3 linked regions of the Arabidopsis thaliana genome follow. The protein of the gene in region 3 interacts with the protein of the main gene of each other region in a pairwise test. Each region holds a gene or a part of one and is shown on either strand. Other genes may lie near its edges. The genes, in order: AT4G22830, RTH and AT1G03660.

What was found.
Region 1: the proteins of AT1G03660 (region 3) and AT4G22830 interact in a protein complementation assay, tested with the Arabidopsis thaliana proteins (one large-scale study listed by BioGRID).
Region 2: the proteins of AT1G03660 (region 3) and RTH interact in a protein complementation assay, tested with the Arabidopsis thaliana proteins (one large-scale study listed by BioGRID).

The regions. Positions count from the first base shown.
Region 1 is NC_003075.7:11,987,914-11,995,864, forward strand, and holds AT4G22830 (YCF49-like protein), read right to left. Parts: upstream 3,516-7,951; 5' UTR 3,495-3,515; coding exon 3,389-3,494; coding exon of another isoform or gene 3,331-3,388; coding exon 3,093-3,330; intron 2,822-3,092; coding exon 2,743-2,821; intron 2,669-2,742; coding exon 2,600-2,668; intron 2,497-2,599; coding exon 2,383-2,496; 3' UTR 2,151-2,382; downstream 1-2,150. Other genes in the region: AT4G22820 (A20/AN1-like zinc finger family protein), read right to left, coding at 1-488; AT4G22840 (Sodium Bile acid symporter family), read right to left, coding at 3,723-3,794, 3,871-3,953, 4,047-4,300, 4,398-4,650, 4,728-4,921, 5,019-5,143, 5,407-5,492, 5,601-5,763; AT4G22850 (SNARE associated Golgi protein family), read left to right, coding at 6,281-6,532, 6,863-7,099, 7,373-7,590, 7,845-7,951.
Region 2 is NC_003074.8:18,950,525-18,958,475, forward strand, and holds RTH (RTE1-homolog), read right to left. Parts: upstream 3,278-7,951; 5' UTR 3,118-3,277; exon of another isoform or gene 2,571-3,117; 5' UTR 2,537-2,570; coding exon 2,270-2,536; intron 2,186-2,269; coding exon 1,757-2,185; 3' UTR 1,549-1,756; downstream 1-1,548. Other genes in the region: TRX1 (thioredoxin H-type 1), read right to left, coding at 599-730, 815-937, 1,342-1,431; AT3G51050 (FG-GAP repeat-containing protein), read left to right, coding at 3,499-3,561, 3,818-3,976, 4,247-4,498, 4,602-4,721, 4,802-4,882, 5,066-5,161, 5,278-5,373, 5,489-5,542 and 5 more.
Region 3 is NC_003070.9:910,098-918,048, forward strand, and holds AT1G03660 (Ankyrin-repeat containing protein), read right to left. Parts: upstream 3,712-7,951; 5' UTR 3,557-3,711; intron 3,499-3,556; exon of another isoform or gene 3,435-3,498; 5' UTR 3,254-3,434; intron 3,140-3,253; 5' UTR 3,069-3,139; intron 2,169-3,068; exon of another isoform or gene 1,986-2,168; intron 1,825-1,985; 5' UTR 1,663-1,824; coding exon 1,339-1,662; 3' UTR 1,213-1,338; downstream 1-1,212. Other genes in the region: AT1G03650 (Acyl-CoA N-acyltransferases (NAT) superfamily protein), read right to left, coding at 152-384, 763-1,006; AT1G03670 (ankyrin repeat family protein), read right to left, coding at 4,125-4,742, 4,812-5,359, 5,441-6,125; THM1 (thioredoxin M-type 1), read right to left, coding at 6,893-7,206, 7,543-7,768.

The sequences.
Region 1 (7,951 bases), on a different chromosome or scaffold from region 3:
TTGGCAATCTCTCCACGTCCAACTTCTTTGAAATCAAAGCTGCAATCATGAGTCTCCGGGTACCGATGTTCGCCGCAGAAAGTGCTCCCGCATTTGCACTTAAACCCCATGATCCCAACCTTCTTGTTACAACACAAACACCGGTTGGTTCGTGCAGGTCTCGATGGCTCGTTCGCCTCAGGAACCGCCGAGGAAGATGGCTCGGCCGAGACAACAACAACTGCCGCCTTTTCGGGTTTGGGTTCCACAACAACAGCAGGAGGTTCTGCTATGAAGAGACTACGAGGAGGAGAAGGCTTGAAAGATTTTTCAACAGCAGCTTTAGCAACTGCTGTTTGAGCTTCCTCAGCACAAATGCCTCTGTAACATTTAGAACAGAGATCCATGTTTGATGGTGATCCAAAGAAACCACATCCTTTAACACATAGCTTTGGCTCTGAAGCTTGCGATTGCGTGAAGCTTGTGCTATCGTTTTGTTCCGATCCCATTCTTACTCTCTTGCTTTTCTTCTGTTACACCACATAAATTCAAATTAAAATTTTACCACTGCGATTATTGACAATATACACGACAAGAAGACAATAGATGAGATTAGTCAGACCAAAGATTCCTCAATGTCAGAGGATCTTTTAAGGTTGTCGGGTTTTTGAGGATTAGATCCATAACAAAAGTACAACTATATTATTGACACAGATCGATTTTGTTTTAGCTACGATAACAACAATTTCGTCATCAAATTATGCAATTAAAAAAGTAGATCTGAGTTTCCGAAACACAAATACTAAGATAACACAAGAATCTAATTCAGATCGGACAAGACACAGAATCAACTAAATCAATCAATCAATCAAAAATACACAAGACAAAGGAGATTGGGAATTTTTACCTGTAGAAAACGGAGATCTCTTTCTTCTGGCGATTTTAAAGAGAATTAACAAACAACGATTCACAGTTTGTGTTTGTTTCTGATCTTCGGAAGTAATCTTCGTTAGATGATTTGTTCTTAAATCGATAAGAATTGAGAACGACAAGTCTTTTTCGTTAATCGAGAACAACAAGAGAAAAATTAGAGAAAAACAGAAACACGTAACTATGGAGGAACATACATGTGTATATATTTATATGGTATGAGTCACGCTACGGTTTTCACTTTTTTTAAGTTGTGTTCTTCTACACCTCCTTATTGTACACTTTCGTAATCTTAACCGTGCGATTCTTTTGGCTGACCTAATCTGACGGTTATAATTTATCATCGAGCAGCTAAACGGAATAATAATGGCACTGTTTTGTAAAATTTCCAAAGTTATGAAGTCAGAACTGTACTTTCGTAGCTGACGTGTATATTTCCTTTATTTTTGAATTCTGACTTTCCATTTTTTTATTAATTGACATTTTTTATCCAGTTTGATCCAAAAAAAAATGATGTAGGTTTTTTTTTCCCATAATAGGAGTACAAACTAATAGGTAAAATTAACAAATTTAAATGTATAAATGGCCTTTGGGGTTGTTTAAGTAATGATTAAGATGGTATTATTGGTGGACTTTTGGGGAAGATAAAGATAAGATATGCCTTCTTCATCACGCCCTGGCTTGGTCTAAACACGATTAACGCGTTGTCAAGATTTAAGTGGAACTTGGTATCTTATTTTAATAATTCGAAAATTTTATTATTTTAAACTTATGTACTTACGTTCATTTTTTTTCTTCTTATTAAGATCCTAACCAGAAATAGCTCAACCACCCCACATTTTTGCTTATAGTTTTTAACTTCAAGAGATTCGGATTTAAAAAAAAAAAAAATTGTCGTACTGTCCCACGTAAAGATTCAATTTTGTGTGTGACAGATGTAAGTTATACACAATGATTTTCTTCAACTAACTAGATTGAGTTTGTTGGCATGTTTTACTATATATGGTCTCGATTTAAGATGATATAACAAAACAAGATAATTAGTTCAGATAATGTTAAACGTTCAATATCTGCATTTTGAGTTAAGATAATCTCAATATCTGCATTTTGATGTCTACTTTTATTTATAATTTTAGCCAAACTTGCCACACTGGGAAAAACGTTATCAGTTTTGGCACTTTCTTTCTTCTGTTTTCTTGATCTCATTTATACAAAAATGGAGAAGTTCTTATGATCACGTAACCAAAATTTATAATTTAATTCAAACTCTAGATTCTGGATAAGACTAAATCTGTGTAACTTGGGTTACTGATATAGGTTGAATGCACATGGATCTTCCTCATATAAAGACTATATAATATACTTAAATCGTTGACATAGAATCTCATAGAACTTTTCAAAGGGGAAAAGAATCTTAGTGATCCTCCAATTAATAATTCAATTATACTTTGCTCATATTGATCGGTTTAGCCATCATGGCTTTTCAGAGACTTCAATTTTGGATGACAACTTGTTGATCCGAAAGGCAGCAATGCAGAGAGTGATATTACCAAACACCGTTAGTGCTGCCTGAAGAGCGACCAACACCTGATAATGCAGTCCAACAATTACACCATTAAGTAGGAGTGAAGAAGCAAACGAAACATATCACAGACTTATAGCTAAAAGTTGGAGTCAAGAGTTTCTTGACCTCAAGAGATTCATCGTTGTAGAAGAAATGCCATGTGCATGCACAGAGAGCTCCACCAAGCAAAGGTACCTGATTAAGAACAACCAAAAAGCTCAGAAAAATGAAATCATGTAATCTAGGAAAACGGCTTAGAGCTTTCTCACCATTCCCCATGAGAGACCTTTCCAAGACTCATAACCCTTTCTTTCTCCATACTTCCATACCAATGCCATCGCCGTAATCCTTTAGTAAAAACAACACCAGAATTAGAAAGACATTACATTTTTCTTGTTTGTTAGCTCCAACTGCATTTCAAACCATAATGAGAGAAGCTTAATCTACATTGTGAGTGAAAGATCGAGACTTTATATGTAGATGAAGCTTCTCTCATAATGATATCAAAAACTCGAAAAACCCACAACATCAAATACTCTCTTGTGTCACTATAGATCAAATGTCAAATGTTTTCTAAGTGAGAATTTCAATCAATAAAGCAAAGGAAGAAGAAGAGAACCATTCGACAACGCTGGAAACATGAACGGCCCAAGTGGGTAAAGACAACGCATTGGACGGTTCGCTTAGCTGAAGAGAATCCACCACCGCCGCCAAAGCAGTAGCATCTGGTCCCGCCGTGATGAAAGCAGCCGCAACCAAACTGGTTCCGATAAGACCCGACAGCGCAACCGGGTCATGAATTAAACTGCGGCTTCGGATCCGAATTACAGGTTCGTTAGAGGTGGTGAGAGAAGAAGCTGGACGGCTCTCAGAATGAATTCGCCGGAAATTGGGTTTGGCGCAGCAGAAAAGAACGGTGGCTGTTGAAGCAATCGCCATGGCTGAGATTTTTCTCCAATTTCCAATTCCCAAGTTCTGGTTTAATTTTAAACCGGTTTGCTGTTGAACCGTCTTTTATCATTTTCACAAACAAAATTAAACTAATCGGTTTATTAACAAATTCTGGTTTTTCTAATTACTTCCCATCTTTGAAGTTGAAGAGAAAAATATAAAGACAAAATGGAGATTAGTACATTAAAAATCTCAAATTCTGTATTGAATTATTTATATTACAAGAAGAATTTTCCAATTATTTGTAGTACATATATATATGTATAATCAAAATGTGGAGTGAAACAAAATCAAAATGTTAAAATGTGTTACTCTTTTCCTTAGACCAGATCAAAACGAGAGTGAACCCCATCAATGACATTACCACCGTCTGCAAAACAAAACAAAAATCTCTATAATCATCATCAATAAAAGATTATGCTATGTCAAAAGGATATGAGACTTACAGATATAGCAGGAGGAATCCCCACAAGAGGATCTTGAAAGAACTTAGTAGCAAGCGCTAGAGCCAAAAGGCTACTCTGCATTCCTGATATATTCACAAACACATTTCTCTTCTCAAATCTTTAAACCAAATTGTACTTTCTTGATAAGATTTTCCAATACCATAAAGAGTTAGTACCAGTTTCATAGGACAATGTTCTTTGCATGGCTTTAGCGTCTGGAGCGTTTCTAAAGACAGAACCGGTAAGGAAGTATCCAGCGAGGAAAGCTGAGAGATGAAACATTGTTACTAGTAACAATATGGTGGCTCCAAATGGAGACATGACCGAGTTTATGTTCAATGCGAGTGGTGCTCCAACGCAGCAAGCTGTGTCGAGAACCGATAGAATCGGGAGAAATGGTCGGATTGCATTTGATACTTTTGGGAACAACCTGTAAAAGAAGAAACAAAAAGGAGATAAAAATGGTTATACTTAGAGAAACAACTTGTGGTTATTTCTAGTTGTAGGCTTGTAGCTATATCTCTCACTTGTTTAGTAGCAATCCTGCAGCGATTGGTGCGATTACAACCTGAAGAATGCTGGATATCATTCCTTTTACATCAACGGGTAGTTTCTTCCCAATGAGCAGGAGTGATAGCATCGGTGTGACAAGAACCGCAGTAGCGGTTGATAGAGATGTCATGACGATGCTAAGAGGTGCCAATGCTGGATCAGTTAGGAATGTCGCATAGTTTGACAACTGAGCTCCACTAACACATGATACCAACATGATTCCAGCACCTGAGAGATTGAGAAAGATTGGTTAATGTGAGAGATAGGTTAAGAGTCTTGAATGATGAGAGACAGGGAGCTTTTACCAATTGGAGTTGGGAGTTGGAAAAGAGAAACAGCAGCTAGGCCAAAGATGAAACCTAGGACAGGCTTTACGAGATATTGTCCAACATAACCGAGGAGGATAGCTTTTGGTCTTTTGAAAGCTTCAAGAAAGTCTTTCTCGTTTGAATTGATACCAACCGCAAACATCAAAAAACCTAAAGCGGGCACAAAGTACCTAAAATAACAGGAGAGTAAAGAAGAGCTTTTTAGCAAACCTCATGTCTACAATTCAAAGTCTTAGATCAATTTGACCTTGTTCCAATGGGAAGAACCTCGACGTAAACCAAGTGAAAGAAGGAGGATAGATAAGAGCTAATATTGTACTCGCCAACACTACATGAGGAAGAATTGAGTTTGCTTTCTTCATTCTATCCACTATAGAAGGCTTCTCAATAACCTGCAAGCCACTTACTAGATTCATGTTGGTTCTCGGAAGTAACATAAAATTCTTAACAACTGAAATCATCAGCAAACGAAGAACAAAGTAGCAAAACTGTGATCCAGGGATGATTTTTAGCTAATCAGATTCAAAAGTAGGATAATTAACAAGTCTTCAATAGTGCAAAATCACATTTTGACATTAAAGATGACACATTTTGAGAAGACTATTCAAACCCAACATAACATAGAATGGAAAAGGAAAGATCCCATAGCGCACACCTTGAATGGATCAGCTCCAGGATCCAAACCCATCTCCGAGAAATTATCAGATGCATATCTACGCCACAAATTCCTCGATCCGCCAACTGTGTATATAGTAGGTTGAAGAAAACCATGAGAGAAGAAAGTGTAAATTTTGCAGGTACCCAACAAGCATAAACGCCTGAGGATCGATGAGAGTAAGATGAACAAACCTTGAGAGATTGGGTCGATGCGAAGTGGAGAACTCAGAGAAGTGTTCGAGAAGATGTTGGGCGGGAAAACTTGAATCCGTTGACTGCGATAAACAGCTCGTGGTAGAAGACGAAGTGTTGACTTTAGGTGCAGGGTCTCTATTGGAGTTGTGATCACGCTCATTTTTTTTCTTTGGACTTTGTGATCTTTCAGATTCTTCAGAAGAAGTGGCGAAACTCTGAGAGTTCTGGGAAATGGAAGAAAGAGGGAGAGATTCAGAGAATCTGGGACCCGAGAATCTGTCGCATCATCAACCTAACAAAACCCGACCCGACCCAGTTAGAGTTTAAGTTTCTGGAAATGGCCCACTGGGCTTTAAGATAATGTATATTTCAAATTATGATTTTCTTATTTTAAAACTGATATTTGGAATATAATGTGTTGTGTAGTGAGAAAGACGCAATTAATATACTTAAGTTAGGGTAATAAAAAAATCGGTACAAGACTACAAAGCAAAGACACAAATCAAGGAGAAAACTTCCACAAATTGTCTCTCTTTCTTTCCTACACACCAATTTGTTTTGTGATTCTTTCGATTGCATTCTTCTTTTTCGAATTCCCGATCACTGGATTTTCCCGTTTAACCGGAAAATCCAGTGGATTAGATTTTACCCAGTGTTATCTTTTTGGATTGGATTCGATGACTGTTACGGAGGACGAAAAACCGGTTCTTGAGCTGCTGGTGAGAGTTGAAGACGACGATGAGAAAGGGCCTTATGTGAAATTGAGTGAGGTTTTAGAGAAAGGTCAAGAATCAGAGCAGGAGAAGGAAGAAGAAAAGACTGATTCGTCGCGGTTTTGGTTTTGGGTCAAGCTTTCTCTTTTATTCGCCTTTCTTGCTGCATTGGCTGTTGTGGGTTACATTTGGATCGGTCCATTGATCATGGATAAGGTTTGATTTTAACTTCCATCATCAGATTCAGTTTTAGCTTTATTTGCTCTTGCATGTGTCTCAAAAAGTTTAATTCTTTGTCTGATTGAATTCTTTAACTCATGATTATTCACTCTTGTGGAAGATTCTAAGTAGTCTTGAGGAATGAGGCTGATCTAGTTGCGTATAGTCTGCATGCTTGTAGTCTGACTAGATTTGATGTTGATGCTTAATGTATCTATTAGTATTCATGTATGATCAAAGAGTTCTTGCATTTGAGCTTGTTGTATGTGTAATGTCTTTTACAATCTTCACTAACAAGGGGAATTATCTACTTGCCTGGTTCTGCAGGAGCTTATACCGCTTATACAATGGGAGATACGAACTTTTACACATCCTGTGTGTGGTCTTCTTGTTTTTGCATCAGTGGCGATATTTCCAACTATACTTCTTCCATCTACACCATCAATGTGGATTGCTGGGATGACTTTTGGTTATGGCTATGGCTTTCTACTTATTATCTCAGCTGCAGCTGTTGGTGTTTCGCTACCTTACTTTATTGGACAACTCTTCTGCCACAAAATTCAAGTATGTGTTAGCTCCCTAAAGCTGCTTCCTTTTCGCTTGAATTTGTCAGAGTATCCAAGTTTTAATCATGATTGAAAGTTCTGAGGTAGGTTTAGAAAATACGAAGCTGCTCAATACATGACTCTAAAGCTTGGTTATCTTGGTTTGAACTAGGATTAACATTGTTTTGGTTTCCTCAAATGATGTTATAATGTAGTTGCATTTGTGAATGTAACTGTGTGAAATGTCATTTTACTGAATTGTGTTTGTCTCTTTTTTCTTGTTATTCTATAGGGATGGCTAGAAAGATATCCTGATCAAGCAGCCGTATTAAGAGCTGCTGGTGAAGGGAATTGGCTTCACCAATTTCTATTAGTAACCTTAATCCGGATTTCTCCATTCCCTTACATTCTTTATAACTACTGTTCTGTAGCAACTCGTGTTAAGTATGGTCCTTACATCACGGGCTCTCTCTTAGGCATGGTGCCTGAGGTTTTTGTCGCAATCTACACGTAAGTCAGCTTTCTATCTCTTCTTTTCAATTCCAAAACATTTTGTTAGGTCCAATACTGTTTACATCAATGCTCATTGCACCTACTCAGCAGAAAACATCCCATAATAAGAATACTTAGTAAATCCTCACATTACACTATTCCACTACTGTAGAACAGTTTTAGCTTGTGTCTAGCTTTTATTTTAGCTTCTAGAAGCCTAAGTAAAAAGCCCTTTTCACGGATGAGTCAAATGTCTCGTTTCTGTGTTGCAGAGGGATACTTGTAAGGACATTAGCAGAAGCATCTTCTGCAGAAGAACAGGGTCTCTCGGTAACACAGGTGATTCTCAACATTCTCGGCTTTTTAGCAACAGTGGCTA
Region 2 (7,951 bases), on a different chromosome or scaffold from region 3:
CTATGGATAAACAATTGCTTCGGTAGCATCTTTCAAAATGATTTCGTGGAGGGATTTCTCTCTTTTCTTAGACGAAATGATTTTTTTTTTATCAGATTGAGTTTCCATTAAACGTTCTGATAATATTTCTTAGTAGCAAATGGATTTTGTTTTTAATAGCTTATTATTTGTGTAAATCCTTTTGCAATTTAATACTACATAGAAAGAAACAGAATCCTTCATTTGTACATATTTGCCATCCGTATCGAAACATTGCCAATGATCAATTCCTAGCTTCACTTGTCCAATATTCGAACCGTTTTCAGAACACAAATGACCTTCTGAATAAGCATCACCTTTAAGAAAATGCTCTCTCTTTATTCACGTCCATTGCATAATATTTTTTTTTTTTTTGAGGACATAATGTAGAAATTAGTTTTCAAATATACTTTGAAGTCACAAAGTAATTGATTTACTGGATAAGCAAAGCAATTTTCAGCTTCAAATAGTCAGATGAGATTATAGACCGGAACCATAACAAAGGGGAACAAGTTATAACATGTCAAGAGTAATAGAACAATTAATCCAACATCTTAAGAGATATATAAGAGTGGAAAGCTTAAGCCAAGTGTTTGGCAATGGTAGACTGAAGCTCATCTTTCTTGGCTCCAACAACTTTGTCCAAAATCTTCCCTTCCTTCAAAAACATGAAGGTTGGCATCGCCTGTATCGCCCAATCACTTGCCACCGACTGTTCCAACAAAACCATAAAAGAGATTGTGATCGAAGAAAACAATATCTCTCAAGAAGAAGGGAAAAATGTTGGTGAATGTACCTTCAATTCATCAGTATCAACCTTGAGGAAAAGCACGTTAGGAAGTTTCTTAGCCAAATCAGCAAAGAATGGAGCGATGAAACGACATGGTCCACACCAAGAAGCCGTGAAATCAACCACCACCTTCAACAATATAACCAATCATGAATCATTTTCATTGAAAAACCATTTACACTAAAAACATATCATATCGTAAGAATTGTGAACATTACATCTATCTTCAGCGTAAACATTTTTCTAGGGATCCCTTAGTTTCATAGAATTATCAACATGACTCGTAATATAAGTCATTATGATCTCCTACCAATCCTAGGATCTAATCTATGGTAATGCAGATCCAAGAATTGTCATAAAATTCAAACATGAATTCATACAAAAAAGAATCATATCATTACATTGCTTAAGTATGAGAGATCAAAGACTCTATTTAAAAACGCAACCCAAAACAAACCAAATCAAGAATAATAACAAATCCATATCTCATCAAAAACAAAATGAAATCAAGAAATTTGGGAGAAGAAGATTACAAGAGTTTTGGATTCATTAGCCTTCTGAAGCTGCTCGTTCCATGTCTCAACGGTGTGGCAGGCGATCACTTGTCCTTCTTCCGAAGCCATCTTCTCTCTTTTTCTTCTCTGTTCTGTTTCTTCTCCTCTTGTGTTTTTTTTTTTTCAATTACTTAGCATGCGCGTCACCTACCAATCCCAATTTTGCCCGTCAATAGTTTTTCTCTTCTACTTTATTCGACGCGTGATTTTGTTTCCCATAATTACACCCACCAATTGCTACTTTCCTTCTTTACCCAAATCATAAATATTCACACTTTTACTCCTCAAAGTTTTACTTGTAACAAATTAACCACACACAAAGCAAAGTTGTAAATATCCATCGTAAAAAGTAAAAAACATTTTGTAGACATCATTTGTACATTATGATTCAAATCTACAGCTGAATCAGTTTCTTGAAACAATACGTTCCAATGATGAACCACCCGGTAAGCAAAACCACTAGAATCGAGCAGGAGGCAATGAAAGTCCAACCACCGAGTAAGATTCCTATAGTGTAGACTATGAGTGGAGGCAACAAGGACTTTACTATAGCCGTTTTGTTCACCCAACGTCCCTTGAAAAGCACTAGTGTCGCGAGATTCACCACGTTCCATCCGCCTGACTTTATAGATAGACGGTTCAGGTTGTTGGCTACAAAGGAATGACAGTTGCATGTGAGTATGTTATATGAGTGATGTTGGTACTCTTGCGTGCTTTTTCTCAGTGCATCATCCCATGTTGGCTCTTTCTCATGACTATCTTCTTCTTGCTCATATCTCCTCTCACCATTGAACATACCAGAACTGGAAGAACGAGATGACTCCTGATTCAAATCCAAGGCCAATATGAATAAATTGTTACTTTGTATCAAGGTTGAAAATGAAAGCCGGCATCTTGCAAACGTTACCATTTCTTTGTTGATTTGAATATATCGAGAAACAGCTCCAAATGCAAAATTATCAACACAGACAAAATTAGGTCCTGCAAAGTCGAGGATGACACCGTCTTCTCTGCAGATACCGACGTGGCCGATGAAGGGAACCAGCCATGAAATGAAGGGAAGAGGTGTCCAAACAATGCAGCATGGAAACCGGTCTCTTTTGGGATCAATTTTCATAGGATCCGATAATCCGATCATCATGCGATGTTCTGAATCTGTTGCTGTCTCTCCCATATCCAAATCCAGTTGAGCTCAATTATTTGATTCTCTGTAAGCAAAAAACAACACGTCCAGTGATCCCCATGTAAGTAAGATTCAATAAAGCACTTGGATTTGATATGTAAAAGTTGTTCTTAATACTCGAATAGCTGATGCATATCATTTACATCGAACCCAAAACATAAATGCATATCATCCCATCATGGAAGTCCGAGTTGGGACTGAGCCTTCCAGAAGCGATAAGCAGCTCCTTCTAGCCCTGTGCTGCTTTGGATTTTTGCATATACCAAGCTACTACCAATTCATTGATTACTGGATAAACTTGAAACAAGAGTCGTCTAATTGATATTCAATCAACACATTGTGCTAAAACACTACGACCACTACATAGAAAAGCTAAGTAAACAATTCTCGTAGTTCTACGAATCGCGAGTCTTAAACACTAAACGATGAATCCATACGAACATGGCGAACGAGGGATCCAGAAAACGCCATTAAAGATACATAATCCAACTAGCAACGAGTCAACATCAAAGCATCTTCATAGACATTGATTCCGAAACTTTTTCATAAAGAATAGATCAAAGCATACATACCAGTTCAAGCGACCAGGAAGACGATTAATCGGATCTAATACAATCTTCAATCACTGCCTTTTTCCTGGGAAATTTTTGTTTCTCTCTCGGCCCCAATTTTACGAACGATGACACTAAAGAACGTGTTTGGCTCCTTGTTTAAACTAATCCTCTCTCGGATATCTTCACCGTTTCAAGGATAGTAGTATAAACGACATAACGTTCGGTCAAAGAGAACAAAAACGTCAGGATGTTATTCTATTAAACGTCTGATATATCTATACGGCGTAGTTTTGAAGTTGTCGACTATTCTTCATCGTTCTCTCTGCTCTGGTAAGGAGATTGCTGCTACCTACTGATGCAAATCTGCCATTGATACATCTGCTTGCGGTTAGGGCAAAGATGAGGAAACGCGATTTGGCTATTTTGATGCTCTCTGGATTTGCTATATTCTTCACTCTTCAGGTGATTTTACACACTAATCGTCTTCTTATTCTTTCTTAGTTCAATCAAATTGTAGCTGAACATCTAGAATCATTGATCGATCTGTTACTTGAGAAAGCTTTGAATTTTCCTTTGTGGGTAGAACTTAGACTGCTAATTCGATCCGTAAGTAGTGTCATGTTAGCGAATTTGTAGAATTTCCAGATGGAACCAATGGATTCAATTTTCTTATTAATGGTGCGTTTACTTGATATGTGGGACTTGATGACTTTTGCAGCACGAGGGTGATTTTGCGTTCAAAGAAGCATGGTTTCATTTGTATGATGAATACCCAGTCAAATACGAAGCTGATCGTCTCCCACCACCTATTGTAGCTGATCTTAATGGTGATGGAAAGAAGGAGGTTCTCGTTGCTACTAATGATGCCAAAATTCAGGTATCATATGAAATTTTCTAACTTTTGTAGGTAAAAACATTTCTGATTTCGATCTTTCTCGCCAATTTTTATAGAGTCTATCTGGCTATTTCGGTCGTTAGAACGAATGATTGCAGCTTATAGTTCAGTGCTTATGCATTGCTCTTTATTGTTTTAGAGCCTTTTTGTCGAACTAATGATGTGAGGCTTGGTGATTATGCATTTCTCTTCTATGGTTTGCTGTTCTGTGTTGGATTAAGTTCTGAAACTGTTGATGTTTTGTTGGATTAGGTTCTGGAGCCTCATTCCAGGCGTGTGGATGAAGGTTTTAGTGAAGCACGTGTTCTTGCGGAAATCACTCTTTTGCCTGACAAGATCCGTGTTGCGTCAGGGAGACGTGCTGTGGCCATGGCCACAGGTGTTATTGATAGGTACTATAAAAATGGAACTCCCCAGAAGCAGGTTGTGGTCGTTGTTACCTCAGGTTGGTCTGTGCTCTGCTTTGATCACAACCTGAAAAAGCTGTGGGAAACGAATCTGCAGGTTTTTATCTTCTTCGTTCTTTGTCTAACGTTCTGCATAAAAGTTTGTCTTGGTTCAGTAGTATTGATTCTCCTTTTGCTTACCTTTGTTGGTGGAATGACAGGAGGATTTCCCACATAATGCACACCATAGAGAGATAGCAATTTCGATAAGCAATTACACATTGAAGCATGGTGATACGGGTTTGGTTATTGTTGGTGGACGGATGGAGATGCAGCCATATGTATGTAGGATGAAAAATTCCTCTGTTGATTTCCTATGTATCTTCCATATGTTACCAATAGATTATTCTTTTCGTTTTAGAATCACATGGACCCATTTGAGGAACTTGGCATGACAGCACAAAATGCTGATCAACACAGAAGAAGTGCTACTGAGAATCAGGTACGACTATATGATAGTTTCCTTGGACTGTTTCGTAGCTGTGTATATTTATAGTTTCCTTATACATTTTCTCTAGAACTGAACAATTCTGAAGAAAGAGCTATTCGTTTGTAGTTATACATGTTCCAATGTGCATAAGAACTTTGTTTGGACAGTTTAGAAGAATTTTAAGCTTCCTTTCAGGCCTCTGAAGATTCTGGAGCCATAAACTTGCGTCACTTTTCTGTCTATGCATTTGCTGGCAAGACTGGCCTTCTTCGATGGAGTAAAAAGACTGATGTCAGTTATTTATTCTTTTCTGCTCACTTCTTTATCTGCATATTCCTTAACTACATTCGTACCTGCAACAAATTTGGTGGTCAGATTGATAGATTTTTTTCGTTCTTCTCATCTAGGATGTTGAAGCTCACACCTCAGATGCATCACAATTAATTCCACAACACAATTACAAGCTTGATGTGCATGCTCTAAATAGCCGTCACCCAGGAGAGGTAAAATTAATTCGTTCTCCATTGATTATTGAGCGAAATAGTTAACCTTTCCTTCGTTCTTTCGGAAGAGATTTCTATTGCACTATCATAATTTGAAAGCTTTGCTGGACTGAAGTTTGAGTGCAGGGAATTTAGAGAATCAATTCTTAGTGTCATGCCCCATCGCTGGGTAAGTCTTATGCCTCCTACTACATGCTTCGTTAGTGTAATATATTAGAAAAATTGTTTCAAAGTACACTGTTGTCTTTGCATCAGGACCGACGTGAAGATACATTATTGAAGCTTGCTCATTTCAGGCGACACAAGAGGAAAACATTGAAGAAGCAGGCTGGTAGTAAGTCTACAGCTTATCCGTTTCACAAACCTGAGGAACACACACCCGCTGGAAAGGACTTGTCAAGAAAGATTCCAAAATTGATTGGAAAGGCTGCACGCTATGCTGGCTCGGCAAAACCCAAGAAGGTGAAGCTCTTATAAAACGTGAACTACCCACATCAAAAATACCAATATTTGTTTATGATAGCAAAGCAACATGTTGATGCAGGGTATGCAATACATTCCGACGATAACTAATTACACGAAGCTTTGGTGGGTTCCTAATGTTGTTGTGGCTCATCAAAAGGAAGGAATTGAAGCTATTCATTTGCCTACTGGTCGAACACTTTGCAAGGTTGGTCCTAGTGGCTGTTCCTTCAGATCATGAACAAGGTTACTATTTCACGTACCTATTACTTACTTAGTCAGCGTTTATAAATTCTTCCTGTTCGCAGCTTTCTCTACTTGAAGGTGGACTTCACGCCGACATAAACGGAGATGGTGTTCTCGATCATGTCCAGGTACACACATCAAACACTACTCCCGCTTTTGGTTCATTAGCCTTCTCATGGATCTTCAATTTTTACGACCATAAATATTCTCTATCCACCTTAGACTGTCGGAGGCAATGTTGGAGAGAGAACTGTAGTGAGCGGGTCAATGGAAGTGTTGAAGCCTTGCTGGGCAGTGGCAACCTCAGGCGTTCCCATCCGGGAACAGCTCTTTAACGTCTCGATCTGCCATCACTCCCCTTTTAACTTCTTGCACTATGGAGGAGATTACTCACGACACTTCGCCCAGGCAAGAGACACCTCTACTCTGGAGATCGCAACTCCCATTCTCATCCCCAGAGATGATGGACACAAACACCGCAAAGGCAGTCACGGAGATGTAATCTTCTTGACAAACCGTGGAGAGGTACTTTTTTCCTTTCTATATATGCCGATACAATCTCTTAATTTCTTCAACTTTGAATTTCGTTTAATAATAGCTCATCACTGCTCCGTATCAGGTGACATCATACACGCCTGATGTGCACGGCCACGACGCAGTCTGGCAATGGCAGCTTCAGACAGAAGCCACATGGTCGAATCTCCCGTCTCCATCGGGTTTAACTGAATCAGGGACGGTGGTCCCAACCCTGAAACCATTCTCGTTGCGCATTCATGATAACCAGCCTATGATCCTTGCCGGGGGAGATCAAGCAGCGGTCATCATCTCTCCGGGAGGAAGCATATTGGCTTCCATCGAATTACCGTCTCAACCGACTCATGCACTTATCACTGATGACTTCTCGAACGATGGTCTAACGGATGTGATTGTGATGACCTCAAATGGGGTTTACGGGTTTGTTCAAACCAGACAGCCAGGGGCTCTGTTCTTCAGTTCGTTGGTGGGTTGTCTCTTAGTAGTTATGGCAGTTATTTTCGTTACTCAGCACTTAAACTCCATTCAAGGTAAGCCTCGACCATCATCTAGCTTTTAATAGAAATCTCGTAGAGTTTTCTTCCTCTCTACGGAAGTTAAACCGGCAGGTCCGCTTTAGCAGCTTCACCCACATCGGTTTTGGTAAACCGGAAATATTACTGATATACCAGTGTAGATTCAGTGCCTTATTTCCTGGTTTCAGCTGTATAACTTTATACTTTGTAGAATTCAAGTAAAAAATGGTAGAGGCAAATAGAGGACTTTATGTTTTTGTCAATTTTGATGTTTTAATGGAATTATGTGACATTTAATTTATAAAAAAAAAAAAAAAAAATACGTTTTCTAGAAATACTTCGTAGATATATATCTCTTCCTCGATACAAAGCTACACTTTATTCATGGGACTCATCGTACAATACGATTTTTTGAACAAACAAAAAAAGTACTAAATAGGTTAAGTAAATAAAATAGGCTTAGCTTGCCAGTAATAATTGATGCAGCGATGTGGTTAAAAGTTAAGAGTTTTTTGGACCACGCTAGTAGTAATAATATAATCCTCAATTCTCAAATGGGAATGTGGGAGGCATGAGTGGTGTAATGATTTACACATAATAATATACATACTACAAAACCATCGTTATAGAGCAAAATAATAGTATCAGACATTGATTGAAGAGTGAAGACAACGCATGATTTGCTAAAGAGCAATACTTGGGTTACATTTTTCAAAAACCTCACCAAAGTAAATTGATATCTTACCAACATTTTCTTGGCAATGGATTAGTTAGACCAACAACTTTCCTTTTTTGGATTTTACACCAATATTTATTTATGC
Region 3 (7,951 bases):
CTTGCATCGTAAAATATCAAAAACTCGCTAGACATATGTAATATGTTGATGTAGAGAAGTAATCAATGAATGTGTACAAGGCATATCAAGCCCAAGCCAAGATATGGGAATACATATATAACCCCAAATCCAATGATTCAATCCTTTTGGGCTAAATAGAGTCATCAAAATCTAGGTACATTCTGTAAGCATCTCTATCAGCCGAGTAGTAGCTTTTCACTAGACAGTCTACTTGGAACCCAAGCTTTTTGTACAGATTCACCGCAGAAGTTCTCGTGGGGTCGACATGAAGTGAAACCCGTTGCACCTTTCTGCTTCTGCACTTGTCGATAGCCGCTCTCAACAATGCTTCTCCATGACCTTGTCTTCTGCAATTCTCCTTCACTACATGATTCCAAAACAACAGAAGAAAGTAAACTTGGGATACATTCTTCCTAATGTTTTTGCTCTTAACTTGCCTAATAAGAAAAATTCCATACGTGTTCTTGACTTATGAGCTATCTCCATTAATCTTTAAGCATGCAAAACCAAAGCTAGAACAAGGGCTTTGTCTAGTCAGAATTTCTATTGAAAGCTCTCGAATTTACCAGAATCATTGGTCCTTGACTATATAATAATCTACAGGTTAATTTATCAAATGGTTGAAAGATTTTTCAGTAGAAGTTTGGCAGAATAATTCCACTTCTTCTCTAACGAAATTATATTTTCTGAATTTTATCACTGAGTAATTTCATCGAACAGTTGGCGGACGTTTGTCTATACCTGCGAGCTTGGTGATTGAAGCGGAAAGCGAAGATGGCCAAGAATACATGGCATAGCCTACTGTGTCTCCTTCAGCATCCACGTATAGCAAACCGGCGTTTTTCTTACGCAGCTCTGCATCGAAAGTTTGAGCGAGAGATTCGTGTTTAGGGAACGTTTTCTTCTCCAGCTTCACGATATCTTCCACAACTTTGGCCCAACTGGTCGACCCTCTAATCAGCTCTACCACAACTCCTTTGTCCATTGTACAAAAGATTCGATTTTGTGGAATCTCTCGTTGGTTTCGCAGCCGGTGAGAGCGAGTGAGCCAAGGAAATTGTGATTTGATTTTGATGAAGGTGCGTAGCGACGGCGGGGACGACTTTTAGAAACTATTTGAAATTGTGATTTGACCCACAAATTTAACTTTTGTGACAATTTAGTCCCCAGAAACAGAGGAACTGTATCAGAGACCACACCAAATTAAAAGACAACATATTTGATCAATCACTGTGAACGAACTTATGAAAGATTGCAGATAGAAACAATCAAGAGCTTGAATGTGTAATGGAAAATGTTCACAAACCTACATACACATCACTTATGTGCTTTGGAGCTAAAGACATGGAAGGAATGCCATGGAAGGAGCATCAATACAAGACAAACTCCAAATGCAAATGCAACAACCATAGACCAAAAAGCAAACATGATAAGTACCATGGCTCGTTTCATAGCTTGCTGTATCAGAGGAATATCACCCAGATGTTGTGGCCAAATAAGATTCATTGTAGCTATGACAGACAAGAGCACTGGAATGCTATTGCAAACCAGAAAAACTATGAACACTGCTTTCTTGACCAAACCTGTGATGCCTAAATCTGGAGCAGAACTGGTGTAGATCTTTGTAAATGTGAAACCCATAACAAATGTCACAACTGCTACAATTGTTGTACCACCATAAGCAATAAGATACGTTCTTGTAGTTTAGATATTCTGGGACGCTGTGAAGCACTCAAGAGAATTGGTTGTGTACCATTTGGTGAACTAGCAGATCCCAAAGCCATATCCAAGCTTATTATATCTCTGAAAGATTGAATTAAACGAGACATGATGATAGGACTTCACAAAAACATGTTTTAAAAAGCAGATTCAGAAATTTTATCATAAACTTACTCTCTTTTTCCAATTGAAACCCAAAAAGAATAGTTAGAACTTAAACTTGAAAATACACACTCAAAGATTACCTTAAGACGCTTTGAAATCTAGGTGATGAAGGAAGACGAAGAAAATAATGTTGAAGTTTTGAACTTGTAGCAACCAAAATATTTAATCCTAACAAGTCATTGACTTAATCAAAATAAGAAAGGAGAAGTCTGGATGTGCGTACCAATCAACGACGATGTTTAGCTTGCCGAGCAAGCAATTAAATAATTGAATTAAGGTCGTTGACTCCAACGCAAAAAGTCGATGATTCAAAGGTTGGGTTTTTGTCTTTATCCAAAACAACCTTATAGTTTTAAAAATATAATTTTAAAAACATTTTAAAATAAAATAAAAATAAGTGTTAAAAATCTAAATTATGTGTAAACTATATTGAACCTAGGACACTTCTAAGGGGTTTGGATGTTGTGTCTAATTAGTTTAACACAATATTTAAAAATTTAACATTTATCCAAAAAAAAACTTATAGTTTCAATAGTAATATAAAAATATAATTTTAAAAACATTTTTTAATAAATTAAAAACAAATGTTAAAATTTTTAATTATGTGTAAACCATATTGAATTTAGGACACCTCTTAGGGTTTTAGATGTTGTGTCTAATTAGTTTACATAACATTTAAAAATTTAATATTTATCCAAAAAACCCTTATAATTTTAATAGTTATATAAAAATATAATTTTAAAAACTTTTTATAATAAAATGATGATAAGTATTAAAAATTTAAATTAAGTGTAAACCATATTGAACCTAGGACACCTCTTAGGGGTTTGGATGTTATGTCCAATTAGTTTACACAAAATTCAAAAATTTAACACTTATCCAAAAAACCTTTATAGTTTTAATAGTTATATAAAAATATAAGTTTAAAAATATTTTTTAATAGAAGAGAAACAATTGTTAAAAATTTAAATATGTGTAAACGAAAACAGTTTGTTAAATAAAATTAAAAACTACTGTTGAAAATACTTTTATTTTTTTGTTGAAAACAAAAACATTTTGTAATTTATTATTTTTAAAAAATGAACGAATAATAGAAGAAATAACTTACATGGAATCGTGTTAAAAAAAAAAAAATAATAATAATAATAATAATAATAACTTACATGGAATAAGTGTTGAATTGTTGATGAACAGTGTTTGTCCACAAATCTAGTAGGCGATAACTTTCAATAGGCTGAAATTGAATAAAACGAAGAAAGGAGTGAATATTTGGTTTAGGGCTAAATTTAGAGACAGTAGACAAAAAAAAAAAAAGAGAAAAGCATAGAGGATTTTGGAAATTACTTACCGTTACAGGTCAAGAAAGAGAGGACTATGACTTTATGAGATTGGTGTTACTGCATCATCCCTAGCCCTAATGGAATTGGACAAGGAAGAACGGTGATTGTAAACGACGATTGGGCCTTGTTCTCTCCGGCGATGACTGGAATCAAACGCCGACGACGTTTATTGTTCTAAATCTTCTTAAACTTCAAACCATCAAAGATAAACATAATCCAAAACAAACCCTATTAAAGATTAAACAGAACAACGAAACTCACAATTAAAAGCAAAAGAGATTCACACCAAAATAGTTTCAGATAACACGTACCGACTGAGTCAAAATCCAATCGATCCATAGATCCTCCGAAGAAAAATAGAAATGAAAGATGGTTTCTTTTGTTTTCGTTTTGCAGAAGAAGAAGAAGAAGAAGATGAATGAAGAATTAGTTATTTTACAAGGAAGAAGAGTATTTATAAGCAAACGTTGTTCAATAGAAAAAAGGAAATTTCTATTGTTTCCTTTTTGTTTTCGACTAGGTTAAGAAAAAGGAAATTTTAATTAGGCTGCAAAAAAAGAAAAGGAAATTTCCTCACAACGGTCATATTTGTATCTTACTGCGTAACAACAATTTATCAAGACAAATTATTTGAGGTTTCTTATTTTTGAAACAGAGAATTTGGCCTTGAAAGCGAGAGGAGCAAAGTCGGGATCATGCATGTGAGCTCTTTGCAACAGCCAACGGTCATATTTGTCTCTGTACCAATTTTTGTGGTTACTTAGTAAAACCACAATTACAAACTCGTGAGATACAAAAACTGTTAAAAACAAACAGAACACTAACCATCCATCATCCATGATACAAAACAGAGCAGAATAGAACAGAACAGAGCATTCTTTAACCATCCATGTTGTTGCTGCCTTCGCTAACAACCAAAAGCATCAAGAAATAAGGAAAGTAGAAGATATGTCTGAGAAAGCCATGTCTTGTAGACGAGAAAGCGTAAGGAATGATAAGTAGCATCAGGAATACCAAGAAGGCTGAATCTATGGCTAATACAAGATGGGAAAGCCATGGGAGATCGCTCACCACAAGAGTAAGTCCAGCCACAGATGCCATCATCATTGATACAACAGCTGTTAACAGAAGTGGTAAAGCTAGTCGAAAAGCTTTCTTTGTCAGAAGTGCATCACCCAGTTGTGCCCATATTAGAGCCATTACAGTTACCACAGAAGTGCACATTGCAATGTTGTTCAACAACAGAAATACCTTAAAATTCAACTTATTGACCAATGCAGCCATGCCTAAATGTGGAGCAGAACTCATGTAACCACCGGGTAATGTCAAACCTGCAGCGAAGGTCACGGTTGCTACGAGTGTTGCAGTCACCATAAGAGTATTGACACTATCCTTGTATCTTTCTGGACTTTGTTTGCTACTCTGTGACACAGTCAAGGGAATCAGGTTTGGGCCATGTGGTGCTCCAGCAGATACCAAAGCCATCCAAATCAATCTCTGTAAACCAATAAAAAAAGTTACATGAGACTTTATCATTAACTACATGAATCTTCAAATTTGACATACCTTGTAAAGTACGTAAGCGTTATTGTCCTTCATCGTCTCAGCAATATCTAAAGCTGTAAAGCCTTCATTGTTGAGTGCTCTGAGGTTAATCCCATCGTTCCATGTAAGCATATTCACAACTATCGGGTATCTGTGTTTAGTGGCTAGGTGTAACGGTGTATTCCCATTGATATCTTGTTCATTCATCATTCTTTTCCCTTCATCAAGTTTTAAAAGATACTTGACAACTTTCGACTTACCAGCTATGGCAGCAACGTGAAAGATATTCTGACATTGATTGTTAAGTAGCTCTCTTGAGTCAGGACAGTGTTTAAGAAACTCCTTAATGATTCTGACATGTCCTTCCTTTGCCGCCATATGAATAGGAGTGAAGCCATCATCATCAGCGACATAACAAAGGCTTGAAGCTGCTTTGTCAAACTCTGCTAGTATATAGCGAATTCCCTCATAACATCCCATTGATGCTCCATAGGAAAGACATGTCCTTCCTTCTTCGTTGCGTAATTCAATAAGTCCTGGATCTTGTCTAAGAACAATACCTAGGATATCTGTCAAAGCAATGACCAAGAAATAATTAAAACATATAAAGAACACTTGGCGTACAAGGTTGAACAAACATAGAAACAAACCTCTTCTATTGGCCTTCATTGCTGCATGTATAACAGATTTTCCACTGAACATCGAAGCTAGTATAGATGGGGAAGATGAAGATTCAAGCATTTTAAGCACGAGCTCGTGATATCCAGCTTCTACAGCCATGTATAATGGAGATGCTTCATCATTGTTCTTATCAAATGATACATCATGCTTCACACTTACTAGGCAGAAAGCCACCTCTACATGTTTTCCTTTCAACGCGGCATGTAGTGCAGTATCTCCGTTCTTGCTTTTAGCGGCAATAAACGCATCATAGGAAGAAGACTCTGTAATGAATCGAACAAGAATCTCAACAATATTGAGACTGCCTGCTCTGGCTGCAACATGAAGAGTTGTCTCACCCATCAGATTCACATTTTGTAGAAGATTTGGGAATGTAGAGATTATAAACTCCACTATATGGACATGACCCAAAGCAGCAGCAATATGAAGTATTGAATTCCCTTGATTGTCTACGAGTCGTTGAGTGACCTTTACGTCATCGTTTATCCTTTTCAGGAGGGAGACTTTGTCACCTGCTCTTACAGCACACAAAATCGCTGGATTCATAATCTCAGATTCATCCTTGTCTTTGAAAATAGTCCACTGATCTGGATCTGAAAGGGAGCCAGATGTGGACGAGGAGCTTACTGTTTCAGATTTACTGTCACACTTCATACTCTTGTTCAGTGCTACTTTCACTTTAAAATCTCCTGATCAAAAAGAATAAGTAAGATTTGATAATCCTAAAACTTCAGGAATATTAGACGACATAAACATCCACCTAAATAACTTTAAATTAATGCAGCATAAGAAAAAGTGAGAATTACTTGAAGCAGAGAGACAGATTCGAACAGAGAGAGAATCTATGCGCAGTACTGGGTAGATTGAATTACTTCTTAGGTTATGTAGAGATATAAATGTGAGAGATATATTCTCTTGATGACGTGAAGAGGATTAGCGTCGCTTTTATTCTAGTTCTAAACAACATCCGTAAGGTTCAAAAGATCAAACTTTTATCATCACAAGGTTTTGTAAGTTTGTGTGTAATGCTTTGACCTTGTCTCAGTTACGCAATGTTATTCAATGTTTTCGGTAATCCGACATTAGAACAGTATCCTTAAGGTTCTTCTAAAGATCAGACCTTTTTGTCATCACAAAGTTTTGTAAGTTTGTGCGTGTAAATGCTCTGACCTTATCTCAGTTTTGCAATTGTATTCAATGTTGTTAGTTAGAGATTAGAATTTTAGCCCCTACGACCAGGCCTCTTCAAAGTTCTAACCGTGTAAATTGGTAACAATAATAAAATGTTTTCGTAGACTTCAAATTCTGAAAACCTGAGACATCATATTATCATACAAGTCTAGATGAACAGTGATGAGTAGATAGGTAAAAGGTAGAGAGTCGAGAGATACAGAGAAAAGAGAACAGTGACTAGTAGTTCATTACAAGAATTTGTTGATGCTGGTTGCTAAAGTGTCTTTAGAGACAGCACCGATGATTGTATCCTTCTTCTCACCATTGACAAAGATCATGATAGTTGGGATGCTTCTAACACCATACTGGCCAGGGGTTGCAGGAGACTCATCAGTGTTAAGTTTGTAGAACTTGAACTGGCCGGCGTACTTTTGCGCGAGTTCGTTGACAATGGGATCAATCATTTTGCAGGGTCCACACCATGGTGCCCAAAAGTCGACAAACACAGGCTCATCAGCCTTGAGAACTAGAGAGTCCCATGTTGAATCGTTGACCACTGGAACTGCATGGATCATATAGCAAAAAAAAACCAAGATTAATGACTCACCATGAGTGTAGAATTATGAATGAAGGGATAACAAATCCAACAAACAAGCATCTTGAGTTTCTATAGATAGATACTTAGAGATCCTAATACATATGTGCATAAATAACATGACAAAGAGGTTCAAATCCGAAGAAACCTTTTTCTAGTTGTCTTCCAATTTCACTACTTGAACATGGAAGTCATTTCATAGACACTAAGAGAGAGCCCCATTAGAGTTAACCCATAAGAATTCCCAGAAACAAAACGCATAATCGAGAAATAGCATTGATTTACAAAGACGAGAGAACATACTTCCTGTAGCAGTGTCCTGAGCTTCACAGATAACGCCTCGTCGTAATCGGGAAACCCTAGAATTCTTCGAGAGTGAAGATAGAGAAACGCGAGTCCTCAATCCGCTCGATTCCGGCAACACAGAGAACATCTGTCGAGTAGAGAAGGAACCCGTCGGCGAGGAAGCGATTCTCATCTCTGACCGGATAGAAATCGGCGGACGGGAAGTACACGTGTAAGCAGCCATTGTTGTGTAGCGAGAGAAGAGATAGAGAGAAGCAATCTACACACACGATAGATTCGATTTCTTCTTGAGTCCCAAATGTAATAATATCCAAACGAAGAAGATAACAAAAACAAAACCCACGAAAATGAGAGATAGGAGAAGATTAAGAGGAGTGACTGATTTTTTAGGAATCCTTTTTTCTTT